2 linked regions of the Stegostoma tigrinum genome follow. The protein of the gene in region 1 purifies or fractionates together with the protein of each later gene. This does not show direct contact. Links are inferred from orthologs where the notes say so. Each region holds a gene or a part of one and is shown on either strand. Other genes may lie near its edges.

Region 1 (12,521 bases):
TCCAAAGATGTGGCAGTCCTAGAATTGCTCCACAATGAAATGATTGCAACTGTCTTGAATGGGAGACCTGAAAAAGATTCCTTCAAAATACAGACTCGGGTCAAGGAAAGTTGTGTGTTAGACTCCATACCATTTACAATTACCTGACTGTAACTGCTCAGCTTAAAAATCAATTATCTTCTGGTGTCATTATTAAATACCAGCCAAAGCTGATACGGCAACCATACATACACATGCTCTACAGTTTGTGATCACTGCAGTGGTACCACTCTTCACCAGATTTGCAAGCCAGTTTTTCTCTCCAATTACTGGTCCGCCAAATGTTCAATTTCTAAGTGCTGAAGAGAAAACTCTGGAATATGTTAAATACTTTCCATACTTTGGCAGCTACCTCTTTGCAAAGTCCTGCTGAGCTTTCCCAGCAATTTTTGTTTTTTTTTGTTTCTGATTCCAGCATCTGCAGTTTTGTTTTTGTTTAGTGTTCAAAGGCACCCTGAAACTCTCACTGGAAGCCTGTCAGCCTTTAGGATGAACTTATTGTCTATCATACAGAATGGTAGTGACTTGTCCATCACACTGATTCATGCTTTGAATCACAATGTTGTAAAGAAGACGCTAAGCGGCAACAGAGAAGAAAAATAAGGACGTAAATTCTGCAATCCAGATCCCGTAACTTGGGATATTTTTATTATGTTAGACATGCTATATAAATACAAGGGAATACTGTTATAAATCATGTGCATTGTCATCTATGAAAAAAAAGTTGGTTGCCTTGGAAACACTCCAATAAATGCAGTGCTTTTGCAAAATAGGAATCAATAATTTGGCCTTTTAAATTTTTAATTTTATATTCTTTGTTCCTGAAACAACATTAATGTATCTTCTAACAAAAGAAACAACATCAGCATTCAACAATAAATGACAAAATGACTATTATCTAAAATGTTTGGCATAATATTGCAACTGTGAACAAAACCCACTCTGGATGCAATACAAGGAAAATGACAACCATTGTGATGGACAAGTACCAGCAGTTACTGGAGACAAATGAGGTTCATACAAGCTCTTTCATGGTTCAAGGGACAAGAAAGTGAAGCACAGTGAATAAGAAGAATTGGTGGCACGATGTTTGAATAGCTAAAGTGGAAATGACAGATATTTGTGTAAAGTTGGAAATTATGTCTACTATTGGATTTTAAATGACCATATAGATATCAGTACTGCATATCATTTTTCAAAGTGTTCACTTTAAGAATTCATCATGAATGTGAAGCTATTCTTCTCCTTTTATTAACCTAAATTACTGACGTTGTTGACTTACTCACGGAGCTGCCTTGTTTTCGCTCAGACGTTTCATCACTATGCTAGGTAATATCATCAGTGAGGCCTCCAATGAAAGGATGTTGTTCTACTCCAATTGGAATTTATACTGTCTGGCCCATTATGATGATTAGTGTAATTTTCAGTTTTGATCTGTATGGGTTTGTACATGGGGTACAATTCTATATGTTTGTTGACTGCATTACTGGTTAAGAACCATGCCTCTAGGAATTCCCGTGCATGTCTTTGTTTGACTTGGGCTACTATAGTTACGTTGTCCAAGCCAAACATAGACATGCACAGGAATTCCTAGAGGTTAGGAGCTGGCCGTCCAGGCAGAACCCAAACTGTTGGTCAGTAAGTTATTATTACTAAATCAGTGCTGCTTGAAAGCACTGCTGGTGACCCCATCCATAATTTACTGACGATCAAGATTAGCCTCAGGGACAGTAACTGGCGGTGTTGGATTTATCCTGTTTTTTGAGTAAAGGCCATTTCTGGGCATTCATCACCATGGCCCAGTAGATGCCGATGCTGGAGCTATGCTGAAACACTTTGCTAGGGGTGCAGCAAGTTCTGGATCACAACTCAGTATTATGAGGGAACCTTTTCGATGTCAAGTTTAGCTCAATCCACTGCACTCCCTCGAGTTAGAAGGCTGTGGATTCACACCACATACTAAGATTTGGGCACATAACCTCAGCAGATATTTCTGGAGTACTGTGGGACTTTCAACACATGATGCCTGAAATTAAATTCAATGTCTGATTTTTCTCCAGGTTTGAAAATTGGGGATATCATTAAACCAAATGCAAGGTCTTCCCAATGTCTCCCCAATTCACACTGGTGTCTGCTTCTAGCAGAAATCTCCACTGGGAACAGCCTGTTTTCCTACCCTTCACACCTTTATGTTGCTGGGACTCCAGAGATGCCAAACACAAAATTGGACAGCAGATCACTGATGGAGCTTCTTGTTCCTATGGGGTGGAAATCCTGCCTCCAGTCTATTTAAATGACCATTAATGACAGCAGGATAGCTGTTCATCCCTTTGGCCGGTTCGTCACTGGGCTTTTAGCCAGAGTTGGGGATTGCACATTGGGATCAAGATGTTCTCTTAAGCAATTATGTGATCTCCTTCTGCACTTCCATGAATTTTACTTTACATCATGGTTCCTTTCAATAATGAAGGGTGAACCCAACATAGAAAAAGAGATTGCTGCCTGATAAACTGAGGTCCATCTGTCTTCTCAGATGAAAGTAAGAGGTGACATATTACAAACCAAAAAGCAGTGGAGGTACGGCTTGTTCTCCCTGGTATCCTAGTCAACAAGTTTTTTCCAAATTAATGTTGCTAGTAAATAGATCATCTGGTCATTATCAGAATATCATTTCTGGCTCCTTGCACAAAAATTGGCTTTCACCTCTTGATTACAATATAGATTTCACATCAGAGGCATGTCATTGATTGCCCATTGGTTTTCTCATTAGGGTCTTTTTTGGAGGATGCATTTGTGGCTAATGCCACCTTGTGCCAATGCAACATGGAGCCAACTACGTGGAAATGCGCAATAGACACTTCTTTTGGTTCAATGTTCATTTATTATGGATTCACCCCATGAAGAATTTTGGATGTTTCCAGTGTTAAAGGTGGTACACAAAGACTTTGCTGTTTTCAGAATAGAACGACGTATTCCAGTCCTAACGGTAATACATCAAAAAAAATATGAAAAATAGGAAGGAACCTCAATCACATCAGATTGTGAATGAAGTCTGTGCTTTATGTGCATGGCAGTGCCTTCTGGTTTCTCATTGAGTCTCTTCTGTTTCTGATGGATAATCTGTAGCTAGACAGCTTGCCTTTTGCTCTATACTTAAATTAATGAATTGGATCATCTGAATTAAAAGCCTGCATGGTTAGAAAATAGGAGCTGATGTGACATAAAAAGTGTGGAGCTGGATGAACACAGCAGGCCAAGCAGCATCTTAGGAACACAAAAGCTGAGGTTTCAGGCCTAGACCCTTCATCAGAAAAGGGGGATGGAGAGAAGATTCTGAAATAAATAGGGAGAGAGGGGGAGGCTGACCGAAGATGGATAGAGAAGATAGGTGGGGAGGAGATTGTGGGCGTGGAGGTAGGGAGGGGATAGACCAGTCCGGGGAGGACGGACAGGTTAAGGGGGTGAGATGAGGTTAGAAGGTAAGAAATACAGATGCAGCTTGAGGTGGGAGGAGGGGATAGGTCAGAGGAAGAACAGGTTAGGGAGGCGGGATGAGCTGGGCTGGTTTTGGGATGCAGTGGGGGGGGGGGGGGGGGGGGGGGGGGGAGATTTTGAAGCTGGTGAAGTCCACTTTGATACCATTGGGCTGCAGGGTTCCCAAGCGGAATACGAGTTGCTGTTCCTGCAACCTACGGGTAGCATTATTATGGCACTGCAGGAGGCCCAGGATGGACATGTCATCTAAGGAATGGGAGACTGATGTGACATGATGCATGCAATTGCACATGCACAGATGGATCATGGTGACCATATTATATTGGGAATATATGCTCCATTTGGTCATGCACCTCTGCAGGATCACAGCAAAGCTCACTTACAATACATTAACCCTATCCATCTTCCGTATTTCAAATCAATTCAACCAAGTTAGCTAAATGCAAATTACTTTGAATAAATGTGTCTGGGAATTTTGTGGCATGGTGGTAGTGTCCCTAGCTCTGAGCCAGGAGGTCTAGATTCAAGTTCCACCTGCTCCCACAGGTGTGTGGTTTTCTTTAATTAATCCATCCTTGTTTAGGTGACTGTTAACCTTACAACAGATTATCATTTCTAACGGCTTCGTGCCACCAAGATTAAATTGGCCAGGCCTGCAGTTGCTCGTTTTATGTTTGCACAATTGTTTTAAATAAATGTATAATGTTTTCAATCTCCAGAGATTCTACTGGAATCAATTTCTTAGTAACTTGCTTTTGAGATCCCTAAACACGGCTGTGTTTTAATATGTGCTTTATGCCCAGCTCAACAAAAATTCAATATCACTGTTACCATTTTCTTTGATTGCTATAATCTTAACTTCCCTTGTGGGTAAAGACACAAGAGCAGCTGTTAAAGGACTAATAATTTAGAAATTATGTGAGAAGTAACAGCCCATATTACAACTGTAACAATGCTTATGATTGTGATGCATTCTTACAGTCACATATAACAGGATATATACATTTATTTATGTAACAGTACAATATTTATAGGAGTTTTGCAATAGTGATTGCTAAACTTTTTAATTACCTGTAAAAGGGAATCAAAGTCTTGTGAAAATCTTTCAGCAAACTATGTTTATATGTAAACACATAAGAAACTGGTCCATAAGGCTTCATACTACATTTGCAAAACCATGATAAATGGGATGGAGTTGAAGAAACATACACTTTAAAAATATTTATATACAGGAAACACCAATTTTGGATTATAGATTATAAAATATAATGAATTATGTTATAACACTTGCATGCATTGGAGAAACAAGTCATGACCAAACGTAACTTGGAATACTGCGTCCAGTTCTGGGCGCCCTATTATAGGAAAGATGTGGATGCTTTGGAGAGGGTTCAGAGGAGGTTTACCAGGATGCTGCCTGGACTGGAGGGCTTATCTTATGAAGAGAGGTTGACTGAGCTCGGTCTCTTTTCATTGGAGAAAAGGAGGAGAGGGGACCTAATTGAGGTATACAAGATAATGAGAGGCATAGATAGAGTTGATAGCCAGAGACTATTTCCCAGGGCAGAAATGGCTAGCACGAGGGGTCATAGTTTTAAGCTGGTTGGTGGAAAGTATAGAGGGGATGTCAGAGGCAGGTTCTTTACGCAGAGAGTTGTGAGAGCATGGAATGCGTTGCCAGCAGCAGTTGTGGAAGCAAGGTCATTGGGGTCATTTAAGAGACTGCTGGACATGTATATGGTCACAGAAATTTGAGGGTGCATACATGAGGATCAATGGTCGGCACAACATTGTGGGCTGAAGGGCCTGTTCTGTGCTGTACTGTTCTATGTTCTATGTTCTATAAAATAAATCAAAATCACTTGTTCCTAAAGTTTCAAACTATTGTAACCATTCCCCTGGGAAAATTTCACAACCCTGGTTCTTCACTCCTTACTCCTTCTCTATCTGGGTCTCTGTCCCCTTACATAGTATCCCAACAGGTTCCTATCTACATGCCGGCCATGGCTTCTATTTCAACTCCAAGTGATCCTGAGTGTTTATATCCACTCAGCATCTTTCCACACTCTTCAATGTTCCTTGCCCCTATTCCAACTACACCTAACTCCAGGCTTCAGCCCCTAATTTACACTCCATTAGAGTGAGCAGACATCCTGATTCACTGAGCACAATCCTGTTGTTCTATTCACTGCTCGGATGCCTTGGCAATTTCCTACAAATGGCTTAACCTTAGCAACCTTGTCAAAGAAAAACTGGAGCAGTGAGAGAAAATCTGTGTGAAATGTAATTTCTTTTCTCTAAGCACCAATTACATCACCACATGCAAACAGCAGACATGCATCTCTCTTCCTGACTCCAGCCTATCCTACGTTTGACATCTCCAAGGAAGTTGTTATTATCATTTTGGCACCAAGAGCTCCGTTGCTGGATACCCTTTTAAATGATTCTGAGAGATATCATTGCATGGCCTCAGTTTCAGCATCCCTTCCCCAGACGGCTGCCAGTCACCAAAAAATGTGCATCATCACAGTTAACAACGCCCCCCCCCCCCCCCCCCGCTCCCACACCAAGCAGATGCTCACCTGCATATCTGCTAATGTGGTAGATTGTATCCGCTGTTCCTGTTGTAGCCTCCTCTACATCGGGGAAACCAAGTGGGAGCTTGAGGATCGTTTTGCAGAACACTGCTACTCGGTTCGCAGTAAACAACTGCACCTCCCAGTCGTGAACCATTTCAACTCCCTCTCCCATTCCTGACAACACGTCCATCCTGGGCCTCCTGCAGTGCCACAATGATGCCACCCGAAGGTTGCAGGAACAGCAACTCATATTCTGCTTGGGAACCTTGCAGCCCAATGGTATTAATGTGGATTTCACAAGCTTCAAAATCTCCACTCCCCCACCGCATCCCAAAACCAGCCCAGCTCGTCCCCACCTCCCTAACCTGTTCTTCCTCTCACCTATCCCCTCCTCCCACATCAAACAGCACCCCCATTTCCTACCTACTAACCTCATCCCACCCCCTTGACCTGTCCATCCTCCCTGGACTGACCTATCTCGTCCGTACCTCCCCACCTACACTCACTTGCTCCATCCCTGCCTCTTTGACTTGTCTGCCTCCTCTATCACCTCTCCATCTTCGATCCGCCTCCCCCACTCTCGACTATTTCTCCCCCATTTCTGATGAAGGGTCTGGGCCCGAAATGTCAGCTTTCCTGCTCCTGAGATGCTGCTTGGCCTGCTGTGTTCATCCACCTCCACACCTCATTATCTCGGACTCTCCAGCATCTCCGGTTCCTATTATCTGTGATACAAAGCCCCTGCGATGCCTGTTTTTTGTGTCAGCCTAGGCTCCCTGATTGGACCAGCTTAACAGCCCCAATCAGGGAACTCACATTCTGAGGTCCACAGGGCTGACCTTATTGTGACCACTACAATCCCAGCTTCACTCTTGACCCAATCCCCCAACCGGGCCTCAATATCTTAAACTCTATTCCCATTCTCACCCCATTCTAGGCCATTTATCCCACCGTCTTTCCAGACACCCATTCCCTCTCCTATGCCCCAAGCCCCTATACCCACCTTCCTGTCTCTGGTGAAGTTTAAAGCAACGACTGCACTAATGTCAAACAAAAATCACAGGGCGTCAGCCTGATGTTAACCTCCTGGACGGGCCAAGAAGTTACTTCGCGCTCTGTTACAACTACTATTCAATGTGCTACCGATGTGCTTGTACAAACTTACCGAAGAATTAGATTCGTCTTGAAAGCTGCCTTCGATGTTCTGCAAATCGCTTCAGCCGCAATAAATAGCCGTGGGTTGGGGTGGGAGGGGTAAATAAACAAACACTGACAGGAAACAGTCTGGTCTCTCGAGGGAGGGAGTGGGGCCGCGAAATAAGATCCTCCCGCGGAACTCCAGTCGAGGTTATTTTTTTCCTCCCGGAAGGTTCAATTTGGTGACGACAGCGAGCTGTTCGGCGGTTTTTCAAAAAAGAAATCGACTCGAGTTGTTCGGCAGAAGAAGGTGTGTGTGTGAGGGAGGGTGCGCGGGCGGGCCCGGTGTAAAAGCGTCGGTTAAATAAAACGGTGGACAGCGGAGGATTGTGCGGTGATTGATTTTATGAAGGTGACGTCTCGTATTTAACTGCGGTCGGTGTCGGTTTGTTGTGGTGGGGAGGAGGAGGAGTACGTGGGCGGGGAGACCCACCAGAGCCTTTTGTCGTCAGGTCAGTGCCCGCTGGCCACGCCTCGTTTCCAAGGTGATCTGGGCCCGCCCCAAAAGCCGTCTCCCGGTGAACCAGGCCCCGCATCCTCCCCGTGGCCCGCCGCCCAAAGGGGTGGGAGACCCGCCCCCATCCCCGTCTCCCGGGAAACCAGGCTCAGCCCTCAGCCCCGTCTCCAAGGGATCGGAGCTCCGCCCTCAGCCCCGTCTCCAAGGGATCGGAGCCCCGCTCTTACCTAACTCTTCCTCCAGGGTTCCCTGATGTGGAGGTGCTGTTGTTGGACCGGGGTGGACAGGTTGAGAAATCATGCAACACCAGGTTATAGTCCAATAGGTTTATTTGAAAACACAAGCTGTCACAGCATCGCTCGTTCTTCAGATGTTAGTGAGGCAAGTGACGACAGATGCTGAATTCATAAGCAAAATGTCAAAGGATCGCAACCACAGATCAGGATGTGCTAAACACAACTGAGATGCTCTTAAATCTTTAATCAGTCAGAAGGTTTTAACTGATTAATAGTAATATGTAAATCCCTGAATTCCTTTCAAGTCTGTGCCCTGAGAGAACTAACGGTTTCATCAGTGTAAAGAAGAAGTGACGTTTCATGTCAGACATTGATTGTTAGGGGTGTGATAGCAAAAACTGCAGATACTGAAGTCAGAGATAATACAGTAGGGAGCTGGAGGAGCACAACAGGCCAGGCAGCATCAGAGGCTTAGATTCTGTTCATGTTTTGGTTCAGAGTCAGACTAGTTTTATTCCTACACCTAACGTGCATTGTCTGACCTAAAATGTCACTCTTGTCTACACTGCTGAAACCAATATTTCTTACAGGATAGTCACTTGAAAGAAATTCATTGATTTATGTATATATTAATCAATTAAAACATTCTAATTGATTAAATATTTAACAGTATCTTAGGTTTGTGGAGCACATCCTCATCAGTGATGTGACCCTTTGATCTTTTTCTTATAAGTTCTGTGTATGATATTACCTCTCTCACTAACACCTGAAGAAGGAGTAAGACTCTGAAAGCTTGTGTTTTCAAATAAACGTGTTGGACCATAATCTGTTCTCGTGTGATTTCTGACCTGGGGATCCCGGCCCGGCTTCTTCCCACTCCATCTCCAGGGAAACTTGGCCTTGACCCTTCCAGCCTCATCTCCAGGGGAACCCACCCACCTCCACTCTCCTGGTCTCCAGGGGAACCTTCTAAATGGATGGGGGTATCAGCCAGAACTGTAGCCATTAAGTTGTTTCTGTTTCCACAAATGCTGCCAGAGCAGCCAATTCAGTTTTTATCTCAGATTTTCAGCATCCGCATTTGTATAGTATTGTAGAATGGGGGTGTAAGTACATAATTCTGGAAGCCTGCGTCCCCTTGTAGACACAGAGGTTAAAAAGGCTTGTGGCACGCTAGCCTTCATTGCTCAGGCTTTTGGGTTTTGGAGTTGGGAAATCATGTTGAGGTTGTACTGAACTGTGCCCAGTTCTGGTTGCCCAGTTATAGGAGGGATATTATCAAGCTGCAAAGGGTTCCGAAGAGATTTGCTAGATTGTTACTGTATATGGAAGGCTTGAGTTATAAAGAAAGGCTGGATAGGAGGCTAAGAGGGGATCTTTAACAGAAGTTTAAAAAATAATGAGGGGTATGAATAGAGTTAATGGTATTTATCTTTTCTCAAGGATGGGGGGATTTCAAGTCTAGGGTGCATATTTTTAAGTTGAGAGGAGAAAGGTTTAAAAAACTGTACGGAGGGATATGGGCCAGGAGCAGCAGGTGGGACTAGTTTAGTTTGGGATTATATTCAGCATGGAATTCTTGGATGGAAAGGAATGTTTCCATGCTATGTGACTCTATGTAAGAAAGGACGTCTAGCTGCAATCTTTTATTGAAACTGCTTTTTGTTTTACAAAAGAGAATTGGGTTCTATTGTAGATACAGCAACAAATTGACTGTGGATGCTGGAAATCTGTAGATTACTGGGAGTTTTAGATCAGCGGTGATTCTCTTAAACGTTGCAACAGGCTCAAATGGCCTACCCCTGTTCCTATTTCCCATGGTGTGGATGAGTTGAACAAGCTGCCACTTGTTTGAAAGAAAAATGGAAGTATTTTAGCATATTAATTTTATAATAATAGCAAGAAGAGTAGCTACTTTTCAGCTCCAAGGGATTATTCTAAAAATGTTCCCCTGTCTTTGTACGTACAATGTTAATTAAGGTGTACTTTCAACATTTTTAAGATTGTTGTAATGTCATTTACAGATTCAACTTTTTCAATTAGGCAGCATTTCTTTATGCAGGGAAGGTCATGTCTCACCATCCTGATTGACTTTTTTGAGAAAGTGACAAACATGTTCGATGAGGGGAGGGCAGAAGATGTTGTCTACATAGCCTTAGGCCAGGCCTTTGAAGATGTCTCTCATGGCTGGTTGACAAAACAAAGTTGAAGTCATGTCGGATCTGTAATAACTGGTGAGATAGATACAGATGTAGCCTCAGTCGGAGATGACAAAATGGCAGCATAAGTGTGTTTTTCTGACTGGAGATCCGTGACCAGTGGTGTTCCGCAGGTATCAGTGCAGTGACCCCTGTTGTTTATAATATGATTTGGAGCAGAATATAGGTGGTTTGACTGGTAGGTTTACAGATGAAACAAAGATTGGGCAAACTGCTGATAATGAGTTGGATTTCCAGAGGTTAGAGAGAGAGACTGGAGAATTGGGTGGAAAAATTGGCAGATGGAGTTTAATCCGGACAAAGGCGAGGTGATGTACTTTGAACGAAAAAAGTAGGGAACTATAGCATTAACACACTGTGGGATCTGGGTATACAGGTTCATAATTCCCTGAAAGTGGCAACACAAGTGGATAAGGTGGTCAAGAAGGCATTTGGCATGCGTGTCTTCTTTGGTGGGAGTATAGAGTATAAAAATTGGCAAGTCATTTTGCAGCTGTACAGAATTTTAGATAAGTCACATTTGGAATGTTGTGTATAGTTCCATTTACCACAATGCCAGAATGATGTGGAGGCTTTGGAGAGAGTACAGAAACAGAGTACCGGGATGTTGCCTGGTTTGCAGGGTATTAGCTATGAGGAGAGATTGGACAAACTTTGTTTTCACTTTAATGTTGAAGAATGAGGGATGACCTAATAGAAGCTTACAAAGTAATATCAGTGATAATGGGAACTGCAGATGCTGGAGAATCCAAGATAACAAAGTGTGGAGCTGGATGAACACAGCAGGCCAAGCAGCATCTCAGGAGCACAAAAGCTGACGTTTCGGGCCTAGACCCTTCATCAGAGAGTTCTTACAAAATAATGACAGGCATGGATAGTCAGAATCTTTTTCCCAGGGTAGAAATGCCAAGTACTAGGGAATATAAGGTTAAGGTAAAAGGGGATAGGTTTTTAAAGGAGATATGAGAGGCAAGATTTTTACACAGAGGGTTGTAAGTGCCCGTAATGTGCTACGGTGATGGAGATGAATACATAGCGTTGTTTCAGAGGCAACTTGACAGATATATAACTAGGGAATAGGGGATTACAGACCGGGTAGAGGCAAAAGTTTTCTAGTTTAGAAAAGCATCATGTATTGGTGCAGCCTTGGTGCGCCAAAGGGCCTGTTCCTGTGCTGTGCTGTTCTTTGTTGTACTTGTGAAGCTGTGGAGATTTAAAGTGGGGTATCCGCATCTTAGGATAAGACATATTTTGAATGTAACAAGTTGTTAGATACCAGAATATTAGCTTGTGAAATTCAATTTTCAAATTATGTTGTGATCTGAAATTTGTTGAAAGATAGAATGCTGAAACAGATCAAGGCACTATTTTTGTCCCTATTTGCTTTTTCAATGCTAAGCGTTTTTAAAAATTATTAGCGTGCGCGTACATAGAGTGGGCCAAAATATTACATTTTAAAGTTGGTGCTTCTAACTATCCTACACCAATATTAATTTGGGATCACACTTAAGTAGGCTGATTGTCCAATTGCTTTGAAAATGTACATTGAGTAGTTGATAGTACAGCAAGCTGTTTACTAAAGGTAAACTCTCCATTGGCTTACCAGATTGTAGGGCTGTTCTCATAAGAGAGAGATAAGTATAAGTTCTTTAACCTGGGGGTCATTGTGATGTGAGGGAAGAGTTTGAGAATGAATGTCCTTCGTGGCAATCTCAGCAAGTATGGGAATTGAACGCACACTGTTGGCATCACTCTGCATTACAAACCAGCCATCTGCGCAACTGAGCAAACTGACCCCTTTTTTTGTGGGCATCATTGCAATAGATTTTTGATCCACAACAATTAAGTCTTGTGCCATTACATTTCAACAGAAAATATTCATGCATTGTCCAAGCAAAACTGTGTTGGAAATGTCCTGAACTGCACAATTCCATGATAATGAGCTGATTGGACGAAAACAAAATTTCCTTTTAACAGAATTTCTATTTTCCAATCCTGTGTATTTCCACCATGCAACATAAAATTAATCTTGCTTTAGTTCTGTCGGATGACTAACTAAAGGAAGGAGAGAGCCTGCATTTATGTAGTGCCTTTGACAACCTCAAGATGGGCATTAAAGTTAATGTTTCTTGACAATAGCCACTGATTTACTCCAGGATACACAACAGCCAATTTGCTGCCCAATTTGGATGTGGGAGCCCAGCACATCAGTGCAAAAGATAAGGCTGAATTATTTGCTGCTATCCTGCTGAGTCAATGATCCATCTTGGCCTCCTCCAGAGATCACCATTTTAGAGAT
Region 2 (11,743 bases), on another chromosome or scaffold:
GCCTGTTACCAATTACTGTACTTCTGGTTTTACGAGAGACTCTTGTAACTCACCACCGCGTTTCTTACACTGCACCTGATCCTTCAGATAACTAGGGCAGTTCCACTCCTCATGGTGATAGTAAGTTTGAGAAGTGAAGCTCAACACAGATAAAGTTGAAATGGACATCTATACATTTTATGGCATAATATCATCGCTATAATGCAGTCAGGTGGCCGAGAAACCACATCCACTTTATAAAAGCTTCGGTGAACCGCAGCTGCGGGCAAATGAAGCCTTTAGTATGTAGACTGCACTTCGTGGTCAGCAAATCATGTGCTTTCGGAAGCAATGCACACCCACAAATTTTTGAAAGGATAGGCAACAAATTTGATCCTGTCTTTTAAAAAATCTGCATTAGAGATCCATAGACGTTGCATACAAACCAAAGTCTTTCCACTTGCACTGAATAATCTGAACCTGGTACAAGATCAGTATGTAATAGCCCCACTTTACAAATTAAAAGATCACCCAAAATTAAATCACAGCGAGTGATTATTTTAAGCAATTCATTTAAATGTGTAAGGTCTTGATGTACAATGAACTAACAGTACAAGGGTTTAGAAGTAAATCAGAACCCTATTTCCTCAACCCGTGGAGTGTCATTCTGGGGTATTTAAATTGATATGGAGTTTGAGCGTTATTATTTATTCAGTTATTAATATTTGAACCGCCTAGAACATTTCCAGATATATTGAATGATGTATTTCTGTTACATTTAGGATGCCTGATGTTTGATTCACGCTGGATTTTGTTCTCCAGAGATGCACAACGTGATAAATGCAGCAATTTTCTCCAATGGGCAGCTTTGAAGAACATGGCAATTTCAAGCTGCTGGATGTTATTTAGTGTAATAAGAAATAAAACGATCCTATTTCTGAAATAACAGTGTCTATCATCAGTTGAACTACACTGAAAAGGTAATTGTTTCCTGATGATAGATCCATTACAGCCGATCCTGGCCTAAAATCATCCAATGCACCGTGAAAATGAAGGACGAAATCGGTGTTTGCACCTTAATCACCAGAGTAAGTTTGTGCCTAGACCAATAGCTGTTTTCCGCACTCAATCGAGCCAGCCTCTGGCCCTAGTCATTGAATTCTCAGTTGCAAAGGCTACATCACCTCATTTTAGATAGTTTTAGTTCCTCCCTACCAACAATTACAATCAGAGGGAAACAGTTGAATTCAGCACTCGGGGACATTGTAATTACCTGTTTTAAGAGGACTTAAAATTGTAGCTAAATTGTGTGTGTGATTTATAAAAATCATTTTCGATGTCGTTTCTCTTTCTATGAAATATTTCTGAGTGTTAATATTGGCGTACGACGATGAAAAATGCGACAATGCGTTCAATAGTTTTAAAACAATGCATTTACGCAAGGCAGAACATCACAGGTTCAAAGTATGTTAGTCTTATTATTATTTTGACTTGCTGCTGAAGATCGATTATACATAACAGTGTTGGTCGCGGGTCCATGGGAAATATCGTCAACAGTCCCACATGGGGACACACAACTTGTTTACAGTACTGTTAGTCACTGGTTTGTTATACCTGTCGATCCGGAATAATCCATCATCACTAGACGATGTAGATTATAATGTGTTAATGATTAACATCGTTCCAATGTAAGCATCATTATATGCGTGAAAAGAAATGCGAAGGTTTCTGAAATAACCAATTAGTATGTTTTCATTTAGTTATTATCGCTCATGCTCACAACCTAATTGTACAAAGACGAGTGGAAGCAATATTCCACCACTGGCATTTCTATTCTGATGGGAAGTTAAACATTTATCGGGGAAAAATACATCCAGTCAAAAAAATAATGTAATAGACAAGGGACGTTTAGAAAGCGAAGCGGCGTCGTGGTATAGTTTTCAAAAGTGCTCATTTATTAGGAGTTTACAAAAGGGAATCTAATGCAGGAAAGGCCAAAGGCACTCAGACAGTGGCTGTACCATACAATGTATCCTATTAACTCAGGTTGTAACTCTTAAAAGATGGTGGCAGCCGATGATTCCGTGTAAGCGCCGTTTTAGCTCTGACATTATTTATAGAGCTGACTAATAGCGCTAACAGTGGAAACCAGGGCTAATTAAGCATCCTCTCGGATGCTCGCACCATTTGACCTGTGTTGCTATCGCTGTCCTGGAGTGTAAATGGGAAAAGAGAGGACGGGGGTTAACTAACTGAACCGATCTACATAAGAAGCTTTGTTTATAGTTTATTAAACATACAGCTTGAATAGACTAATCACCTGCATGTTACATATGTTTGACTACCAATCTGTCATTATGAACAACGCTTTCACTTTTATGTTTTGGGAGATTCAGAACGCTACAAGAGTTCTAACGCGAAAAACCCATTCCTCAGTTTGGCAGCTGTTACAGCGGAAACAGTGAGAAAGTAGCAAATGTTATGAAGCAAAAGTATTCAAAAATATTACTATGTGTTTAAGATACTATATATTAATAATTAAGAATGGTAAGAGCATTACGCAATATTGAATATTAGTTGAAATATTATTTTACGAGATGGATTTTTAATATTATTCGGGAGTACTTTGGAGGAAATACAGCCTCGTGTCTACATGAGCGAAAGCTATTTTAATGAGTTTCAACGAGTTTACACAGATTATAGTGATTGACGAGATTATGTGGCAGATCCCAACATCACACTCAACTTTTTATTATGTTGTCGACTTGCGACACAACATGAACAAAGTAAATTTGAATGCACAACGCGGATATTATTTATTTCTTTAATGTATTATGAACAACTGTTGATATGTATCATGATTATACTTGTATATCACGTTTCTACAATTTTAAGGGCCTATACTAAATGTTCCACATCAACGTTTTGTCCAACTAATTACAGTTACATTTATTGTCGATTCGTCTTTGTGAGGTTGTTGATCACGATCTTTTATTTTGTTGCGAAGATCTGCCTGGAGTAAAGTGAAACAGATGCTCCTGTGTTTGTCAGCTGTTACTGTTTGTAAAAGGTCAAAGTAGGAGGCAGAGAAGGACCAGGCAACGAAGCAATTAAGAAGAGAAGGCAGAATGTTGCAGACTGGCTCCAAATGTATACAAGAGAGATGGGGGAGTCGGGGGGGGGGGGGGGGGTGGTGAGGTATAGAAGTAGCTCTGCGGTTAAAAAAAAATCAAAGGAACTTTATACTCTACATTAACATAGTTATTTATTCATTGAATTTTTGTTTCTATCTATATCCAGCACACATAAGATATTCACTTAAGAAGGGGTCATTATTCCAAGGGAACTGAACAATAAGATATTCTTTTCTTTAGTCAAATAGATTCAGTTTATCTTGATTCGGTTATCTAATTTGTTGCCTAATCGTGACATAATTACTGAAGTTATATAATTGCATGAATGTATAAACTCCTTTTTAACTTTACACAGATGGTATCTTGTGAATAGACGCAAAAGTTGATTTTTAAACGATATGTTTAGGCTTTAATAGGTGCCAAATCTCATTGTCTCAAGAAGTATTGCAGAGTTTCGGAAATAGGCACAAACGATCCGAATCTCTTTACGGGGAATCCTAATGACGTTAACAGACCTATTTACCAATTAGATCCTAGGAACGTTGTGCTTTAGTCTTTGATAGGAAACAGTTTCTTGCATTTCGTGAACAATTTCTGTTCATTTAAGAAACAGAGTAATCTAACAGCCCGCAACGCACCACATACATGATCACATCGGAGGGTTAAATACGTGTATTTCAATATTGCACTCACCCTACCGAGTTGTAATTCTAGACCCAAATAAATATTGTTGTGTCATTTACATATACAGGCTCAGATATTTTCATTGCTTGGGGGATGATCAGATATTGGGAACACTTTTCATGAAACGAAAGTTAGCAGAAATGTCTAATCAGCTTCTATGTAAGTAACATATATAAGGTTCAGTGATTTCATTGAAATGTTACGGCTGTCATTATTGATGCAGGTCCAAACGTGCATAACATAAAATAGAATATAAGTACAAAGTGCAGGACGTGATTTGCCGACCCTCTACATATTGGCATAAGTTGTGCAGTATTTTGCAATATAATGAAGATATGCTGCATTGAGGAGTTCAGATGTGAATCTTCTGATATTTGTTTGCTCTTGACAAAGTTTGCCTCAGCGGCAATCTGTCATAACCCCATGACTACATGCTACTGACTTTTACGTTGTCTATCAATTTAATATGTCCTCTAGTAAAATAATACTGCTCAGTTACACCAATATCATCCAGGCATCCTTTTCTGAACTGAGTGGTTAGCTACCTTTTGTAGTTTAAAAGCACGCCTTTTTGTTTTTGAGCTGTAGCTCCCAATAACAGCGAACATCCTACAATTTTCTAATTATTTACAATTACTGCAGTGACACAAATCCACCTGCTAAACGTATATTACAATTTAACCATTTGGGTAATTATCTCTTTTACAGCAGTGAATAAATTTTCCGGGTTAGGCTGAAATAATAACTACATCCTGTAACTTATCATTGTAGTCGCGCACAGAGAGAATTGGACCAGACGGGTTTGAAACAAATGGTCCGCTATTGGAAGCAAAACTAGATATTAAAATGTTATGCATTTTCTTATTTGTGTTTTTGCTATATTTATGATTGGATGTTTGCTATTTCCAACATTTATAAAGATTTGTGATCAGGAAATGAAAACAAATTTAAAATATCTTACAAGGTGCTCACATTGAAATAACAACAGGAATAGATATATATTCATCAAAATATAATACTGGATTTAGTGCAAAGTCTGCTCAGAGTGTATTTATGCATAGTATTTGTTGAAAATGCTCAAAACCAAAAAGAAGAACATTACTCAATGATCAGGGAATTAACCTTTAGGAATCTATATACAATGAACTGATATACAAAGAACCTTAAAACATAAAACAGTACTTGGTGTGAAATTAAATCTCTGATGATTATTTTGTATAACCTAAATGATACCTCCAAGCTTGACATTTTTACTTCTGTGAGAGCATTAATCCAAGTGAAGGATTTTGTCCTCTTTCGATCTCACTCAGAAATGTCAAAAGATAATTACGCAAGAAATGGAAGATGTGACACCAAGATGCAATGGAGAATGTAAGACCTTCATATTTCAGATGCCCAGGTGGAAAATGTAACATATCCTGCTGGGCAAAAAGAGTGGTGGGCAGTTAAACAGAATGGATCAAATTCCCACTCTGTACTCATTTTAAAGTGCCAATTTGTCAAGTGTATTCATACAAATCAGAGTACTATTATTTCAATGGGGCTCTGTCATCATGTTAACTAAGAAACCTGCAGAATGCCCATAGTGAATCCCTTCATAATAAGAATATGGTCTATAAGACAAAGAGGCATTTCCAACCTTAAAATTTGTCTTTATGGGGCCAGAAGGAAAAGGGGTACTGGAAGCTCAACTGCGCCCTCACCTATATCTTAGTGAGGAGTCTCTGGAACACCCAAACACTTCATTTTAAGTGGGTGAGAACTCACAGTGAAATGTTACCATGAAGTGACTTTGGACTTTGAACCTCAACCAGGATGGGCATTGGTGGGACTCTTAACCATGGGGTGGCAGCTGATTAATCCAAATAATGACCACTTAAGGCCACTTAAAAAGACCAGATGGGATTTTCCAGTCAACAAGCTAGTTTCACTGTATGGAGGTAACCTCTGCTTGGTTCAGAGGGTCGTCTTCTGTTTGGGCACAGCAGCGGGTACCAATTGCACTTTAGAGTGATTCCAACTCATTGCACATCACCTTCCCCAAGTTTGTAAAGACAATTACTTATTTTGTGTCTTCAAAGAAGTGTAGAAGGGGCAGGTCCAAATTGAAGTAGGCACTCCCTCATATATCTGTAATGGTATTCTGTTGCTGCCTGCAATTCTGAAGGCCTTTATTGGCCTTTCAATTTTGAGATAGTATCTGGAATCCTTAACGAAATGCTGAGCACGTCCTCTGGCTATTCAACAGCAAATCGTATTGATTGACGGTTTATCACACAGTGAAGGCATTTGAACTCCTTCTCCCCCTTTGGCTCCAGAGTGCAGAAGAAACTCTGGGTCAATCTTGCCCATGGCTGTTAAAATTGACAGGACATTCTACTGTGGCTGTCGGACCAATTGCATGCGAAGCCACTCTTGAGGAGAAGATAAAATTTTCATTTCAGAGTTTCTTACATGGATATTCAGATTAGGGTGAACATAGACAGATGTCGAGTAGGGCTCTTGCCACCCTGCCGCAGCATCCTCTATTGTATCAGTATGCCATTTATTTGATATACCACTCCATTGTTGGCTGTCCGCCTCAAGTCTCTTAACTATTGATTCAAGGGTCTACCGGACTAATTTCAGATTATTCGGCTGTCCGGTTCAGTTGAATGTATTTGGGCGGGGAGTGATTGATGAGAACGGTGGAAGGTACCGGCAGCTTTGCCACTGCTATGAGCCTTTTGGGGAGGGGGGTCGGAATTCGGGCCTGGGTGCAGTTGCTATGGCAACGCAGCAAACCGGCGCCGGCCGTGTCGGACATGGCGGCCAGCGATCCGGCCTTCCTGGCGAGATTAGGCGAACTGCAGCGGCAACTGCACGGCAGGTGAGCTCTGAGTCTTCTTTTTCGCCCAACCCTTTCGGACCCCGCACGGTTACGGGGTTGTCTCGGAAGAACGGAAAGCCCGTTTCCCCTTCCTGGCAGCGGCCTCCTGCCCGCAGGCCTTGCGTGAAGCCTCGGACTCGAGTTGGAGGCTAACCTGCGCTCGTGTTAAGTAGTCGCCCGTCGGGGTTTTCCAGCCATTCGCAGTTGCACCGTTTAGTTTGGCATGGATCAGAAACTCATCTGTACTTGAAGAGCTCTGGCTCGTTCTTCAAAACGAGACACAACCAGATGCAGGTTCCATCTTTGACTAAGAGGGACAGTGAAAATTGTACCAACATTGTGACATCTCGAATGCTCCAATGGTTTTTAAAATTCAGGGCAGTACTTTTAAATGTATAGTCGTGCTTGTAATCAAATAAACGGGGCGGTCTCGTGATGCTGGTGCCTTTAAAAATCACAGTCTGACTTTTCAAATTTTCTGTTGAGAACTCTTCCGTCCTACTTCAAGAAGTGCTATGAAACTTTTGCATCCATGTGGCGTCGAAATTATTGAGACCTGACTCGTCCGTCTTCCATCTGTGCGATTGAGAATTTCCTAAATTCCATAACTCAGAATCCTGCAATCCTTCAGCTCTGAGCTTCTTTTGCACACTGTTACACCTTTTTTATAAACTGTATATGTCCTGCCTTCAGTTATTTGAGCACTAAACTCTGAAATAACCTCCCTAAATCTCTCTGCCTTTTCAGTTCCTTAACATCTACGTCTTTGATTAAGTGTTTAGTCTTGTGTCCTAATATTTCTCTCTTTAGATTGTTGCTACGTTTTGTCTGGTTACACTCCTGTGAAGTGCCTTGGAACATTTTCCATGTGACTCCGTTGCGTGGCTTTAAAGTTGTCAGGATCCCGCAGTGAGAACTGACAAGGCTGTGCCGGTTAGAAGGGCCTGTTTTAACTTGGTGAGAGCATTATGGCAGGCTTTGAAGCTTATGACTCCAAAAGTATCAGCTCCCACTGGAGGTCCCAATCCCCACTTTGGAAAGCCTTATCCTTTACTAAAGAAACTACTGATTATTAATAGAAATTCCAGTGACATTGATATATACTTAACATTCCTGAAGGTGTGGACAGTAATGGCAAGGCCAGCATTTATTATTCATCCAAAATTTTCCTTGGAATGATGGTGGCTAGCCACCTCCTTGGATCATTGCGGTCATTATTGTGCAGGTGCTCCCATTGTACTGTTAGGGAAGGAGTTCCAGAATTGTGACCCTTGGAGGTGACTTTACAGGTGGTGATATTCCTGTACACTTGTAGCCGTTGTTCTTCTAACTGTTGATGGTTGTAGTTTGGAAGATGTTGAAGGAGTATTGTATGTCACTGCAGTGCATCTAGTAAGAGGATGTTTGAATTAGAATGCTAAATTTATTAGAAATCTGTAGTTTATTAAATGATTATAGTGGAGAGTGTTGTAAAATATATATCAAACAGATTGAGTCATACTTCAGTCAAACTTTAACGACATTGCTAATTTTCACACTACCTGTTTTCTTTGATTTTACCAATGCTTTCACCAGTATGGGATAGCCATCTTTTGAAGCTTAGAAAAGTGAAAAATGTTTTATCCAATTGAGAATGGCAAGTGTTTAATTCCTTCCGTGAGTGTTCTGGATCTTTTTCGAATACAGCTTCAGTCCTGGGAAGGTGATGCTGAAAATGATGATTATCCAGTAGTTGTGCCATTTATTTTCAGGGTGCTAGCTAGTGATAGCTCAAGCAGCGCATATTCGCAATCCCTGGTGCTTATTTATTCTAAATGTGCCTTAACATTAAATGCACTGGTATGCCAGTGTAACCACCAACATGATTTACTGAATAAATTTGTGGAAAAATTCCAGATGTCATTTTTGCATTTGAAAGGTGATTAGTTTTCAAAATAATGATCCAGTAACTAAAATATCACACAAAGTAGTAGTATGCCTAAGTACATTCTCACTGTAATTACAACAAAAATAATGGTTGCAATTTGTGCCTAGTTAGATTTTTAAGGTAATCTTTGACATTCCAGTTTTCACAATGTTTTCTCAAGTGCAGTAAACAAATAAAAAGTGTTGGAGAAATTCAGCAGGTCGGGTAAAATCTAGGAAAAGCAAAACAGCTAATGTTTTGAGACCAAATTATTCTTCTTTGGCGCTGTGGTATTTTGCTTTTTTGTTAGGCAGGTTTTACATGATAAAGTACTTCTTAAAAATTTGCAAATAGATGACACAGAATACAAAAGTTGGTAATTTTTTTTACTTGGATACTTCTCACAAGATCAACATTTTAAAAATATTTTCTAACGCTCAGAGCTTGGACCCCAGAAAGAAGGATTGGGGGCAAAGTAATGTAAATAATATGAAAGAAGATCAAAAGTTGCTGCACGTACTGGGTTCAGAAAGCATCTGTGGTGAGAATAACGCAGTTAACATTTAAGATCAATGATCTTTTGCCAAAACTCTTTGATGAAAAGGTGGAGACCTGAAGCTTTAAATCTGTTTTTCTTTCAACTGGTGCTACATGACCTGCTGAGTATTTACAGCATTTTTGGGTTTTCAATTCATAAAAAAACTTGTTCATCATTGACAGTTGACTTATATAGCATTTTTGCACAATTTCAATAATTTGGTCTTCACTCCTATCTCCCTTTCAAGGAAAACTCACTTCTCCATCATATTGTGACATGCAGAAAACAGTTTATACCTTAAAAATAAAAAAAAGTGCTTTTCCCCTGGTGGTTTCATATCACATCACATCGACATTCTCCAAAAATAATGTCCTTGAACAGTACGTGACGCCAGAAAATACCACTTTAATTACATCTTAAGCCCAACATCCCATTATAACAAGTTATAACTTTGGAGCTCAAATATCTTTATATTGATCTGCTTTAATTTCGTCGAATTCCACTTAACCAATTTTTTGGCAGTCCTATCTCAGCACCATTGTCTACTGATAGCACTTCTGGATAAATGCTGCTGCCACTGTCTTCAGAACTATAATTCATCCAAGAAATGATGCTTCTTCCTCTTTAAGAGCAATATTTATAACCACTGCAGCAGCCCATCTAAGAAAACACAATCTTGTTACTCTGATGGGACAGCAAAAGAGCAGTAGCAGAGTGGATCTTTACAATCCTAATTTCTTAAGTCAGTTGTAAAAAATAAATGAAGGAGCAGAAGTATGTATATTAATTTAATATATTTGGATTTACATACTTTACTTTCTTGCTTGCAGGAATCAAAAAATGTTTTTTTTCTTGAAATGGGCCACAGTTGTTTTTTGTTCATTTGGGATCCCAGCAGTTAGCATTACAGACAAATGGAGAAGGTAGTATGTGAAGTTTCACTGTTAACAGGCAGTGTTGAAGCTGTTCTAGTATTGGTGTGAAAAACCACGAAATAAAAGGAACAGTATTAAATATGATTCAATTAATTGTTTTTGCCAGTTTGATTCTGGGGGATTAGGTCACTTCATACTTGGTTAAGGATTAATTGTTCTTATGAGGCATAATGCCAATGAGTACGTTAATTTTGAAAGAGAGCCTCTGCTGCTTCATTGGACATACGTACAGTATATTTAGTGAACTATAGAGGTGAGGGTAGTCTGATGTTGATCCTTAGTCAATGCTAAATTGCACCATTTCAGTTTAATTGACAGCAAGGGCATTGTGAATGGTTTTGTTCTAAAATTGGAGAAATTAACAAGGTTTCTTGCTGTTGACCACATTCTAGTGCTCTTGAAAGTGCACTGTGGACATCAACTGAGGATAGTGTAACATGTGGATGTGATTGGTCTCCCACCCGATATTTCATTGGTCCCTCCCACACATGAACAGTGACATCTTGTACCAGATATTGATGGTAGAAGTGCAGTTGGATCTTGCAATGGGTTTGCAATCTTCAGGAAAAAAGGACTAAGGGTAACTTCCAATTCAGGCTCTAATTTAAGTAAGTTTTAATATAATCTTTACCTCTCCAATCTCTTATTTTTGTTCACTTGTTCATGTGGAATTTTCCTGTTCTGATAATCTGTATCTCCTTTCAAGTTTAAGTTGAGACATGCAAGTTTCAGTTCCAACTCTAGCATTTGATTAAACAAGTAAAAAACTGTAAAAGTAAACTTGTATTGAAGTAAAGATTTCAGTTCAATAAATTTTAAGGTATGTCTCAGCAGCATTAGTATGTAATTACATTGTTATGACAGGAGGAAATTAAACACACAGTTAAAATAGTTGGCAAAATATGTTTTTTTGGCATGAAACTATATCTCACTTCAATTAAAATGTAGTTAACTAATTTTCACTGCAGCAGCAAGGAGCCAATTACAAGGTTTTCTTGAGTGAAAGAAAAAGATATTTTATTATCTGCTACTCTGAGAAAAATAATGAAGACAAGACTTCAAGCATATACACACGAGGTATAAAGCTAAAAAGGTATAGCTTCCAATATAAAAGGAAGATGAAAGAAAGTCCTTTGTGTGCTGAGGTGTAAGATTTTAATCATTACTTTTAGATCATTAGTAGAAGTGAACATATTCGTTATCCTTTGAATTCTTGGTGTTCTGATGTTTCTTCTTAACCTTTATTATTATTGGTTTTCTTATTGAAAGAGAGAACTTTTTCAGCTAATTTTGTTTTGTGGTCAAAAATCCATCTCTTGCGTTCTTTCTGCCAAAAGCAGCTGCATGAAATACAAGATAACAAAGTATGAGGCTGGATGAACACAGCAGGCCAAGCAGCATCTTAGGAGCACTTGTTTGTGTATTTAAATGTCTGAATTCATTGTCTTCAAGTTTGATGATTGCAAGTATTGCTTTTATCTCTGACGTGCAAACATTCTTATCAAGGTGTAAAATAAAATTTAGAGAGGACGGTCTTTTCATGTTTCCTTGGGGAGGGTGTTTAATAGCTTCCTTGGATAAAAAAGTTAGTTTCAGTTTATCTGCCTGTCGTCTACTTGAACTTGAAAAAAGACCACATGGTGGAGTTAGGCCTGAGACCATTTTAAGTTAGTGTTTTTGATTCCCTTCTAAAAACTA

What was found.
Region 2: the proteins of sclt1 (region 1) and kiz purify together in Homo sapiens (co-immunoprecipitation; 3 studies listed by BioGRID and IntAct, counting the BioPlex papers as one, with this or other methods). This does not show direct contact. The link is inferred for Stegostoma tigrinum from reciprocal best matches to the Homo sapiens genes SCLT1 and KIZ.

The regions. Positions count from the first base shown.
Region 1 is NC_081354.1:19,945,833-19,958,353, reverse strand, and holds the start of sclt1 (sodium channel and clathrin linker 1), read left to right. Parts: upstream 1-7,430; 5' UTR 7,431-7,560; exon of another isoform or gene 7,561-7,848; intron 7,849-12,521. UniProt on the Homo sapiens protein: Adapter protein that links SCN10A to clathrin. Regulates SCN10A channel activity, possibly by promoting channel internalization.
Region 2 is NC_081362.1:13,529,160-13,540,902, reverse strand, and holds the start of kiz (centrosomal protein kizuna), read left to right. Parts: upstream 1-6,563; 5' UTR 6,564-6,564; coding exon of another isoform or gene 6,565-6,601; coding exon 6,602-6,666; intron 6,667-11,743. UniProt on the Homo sapiens protein: Centrosomal protein required for establishing a robust mitotic centrosome architecture that can endure the forces that converge on the centrosomes during spindle formation. Required for stabilizing the expanded pericentriolar material around the centriole.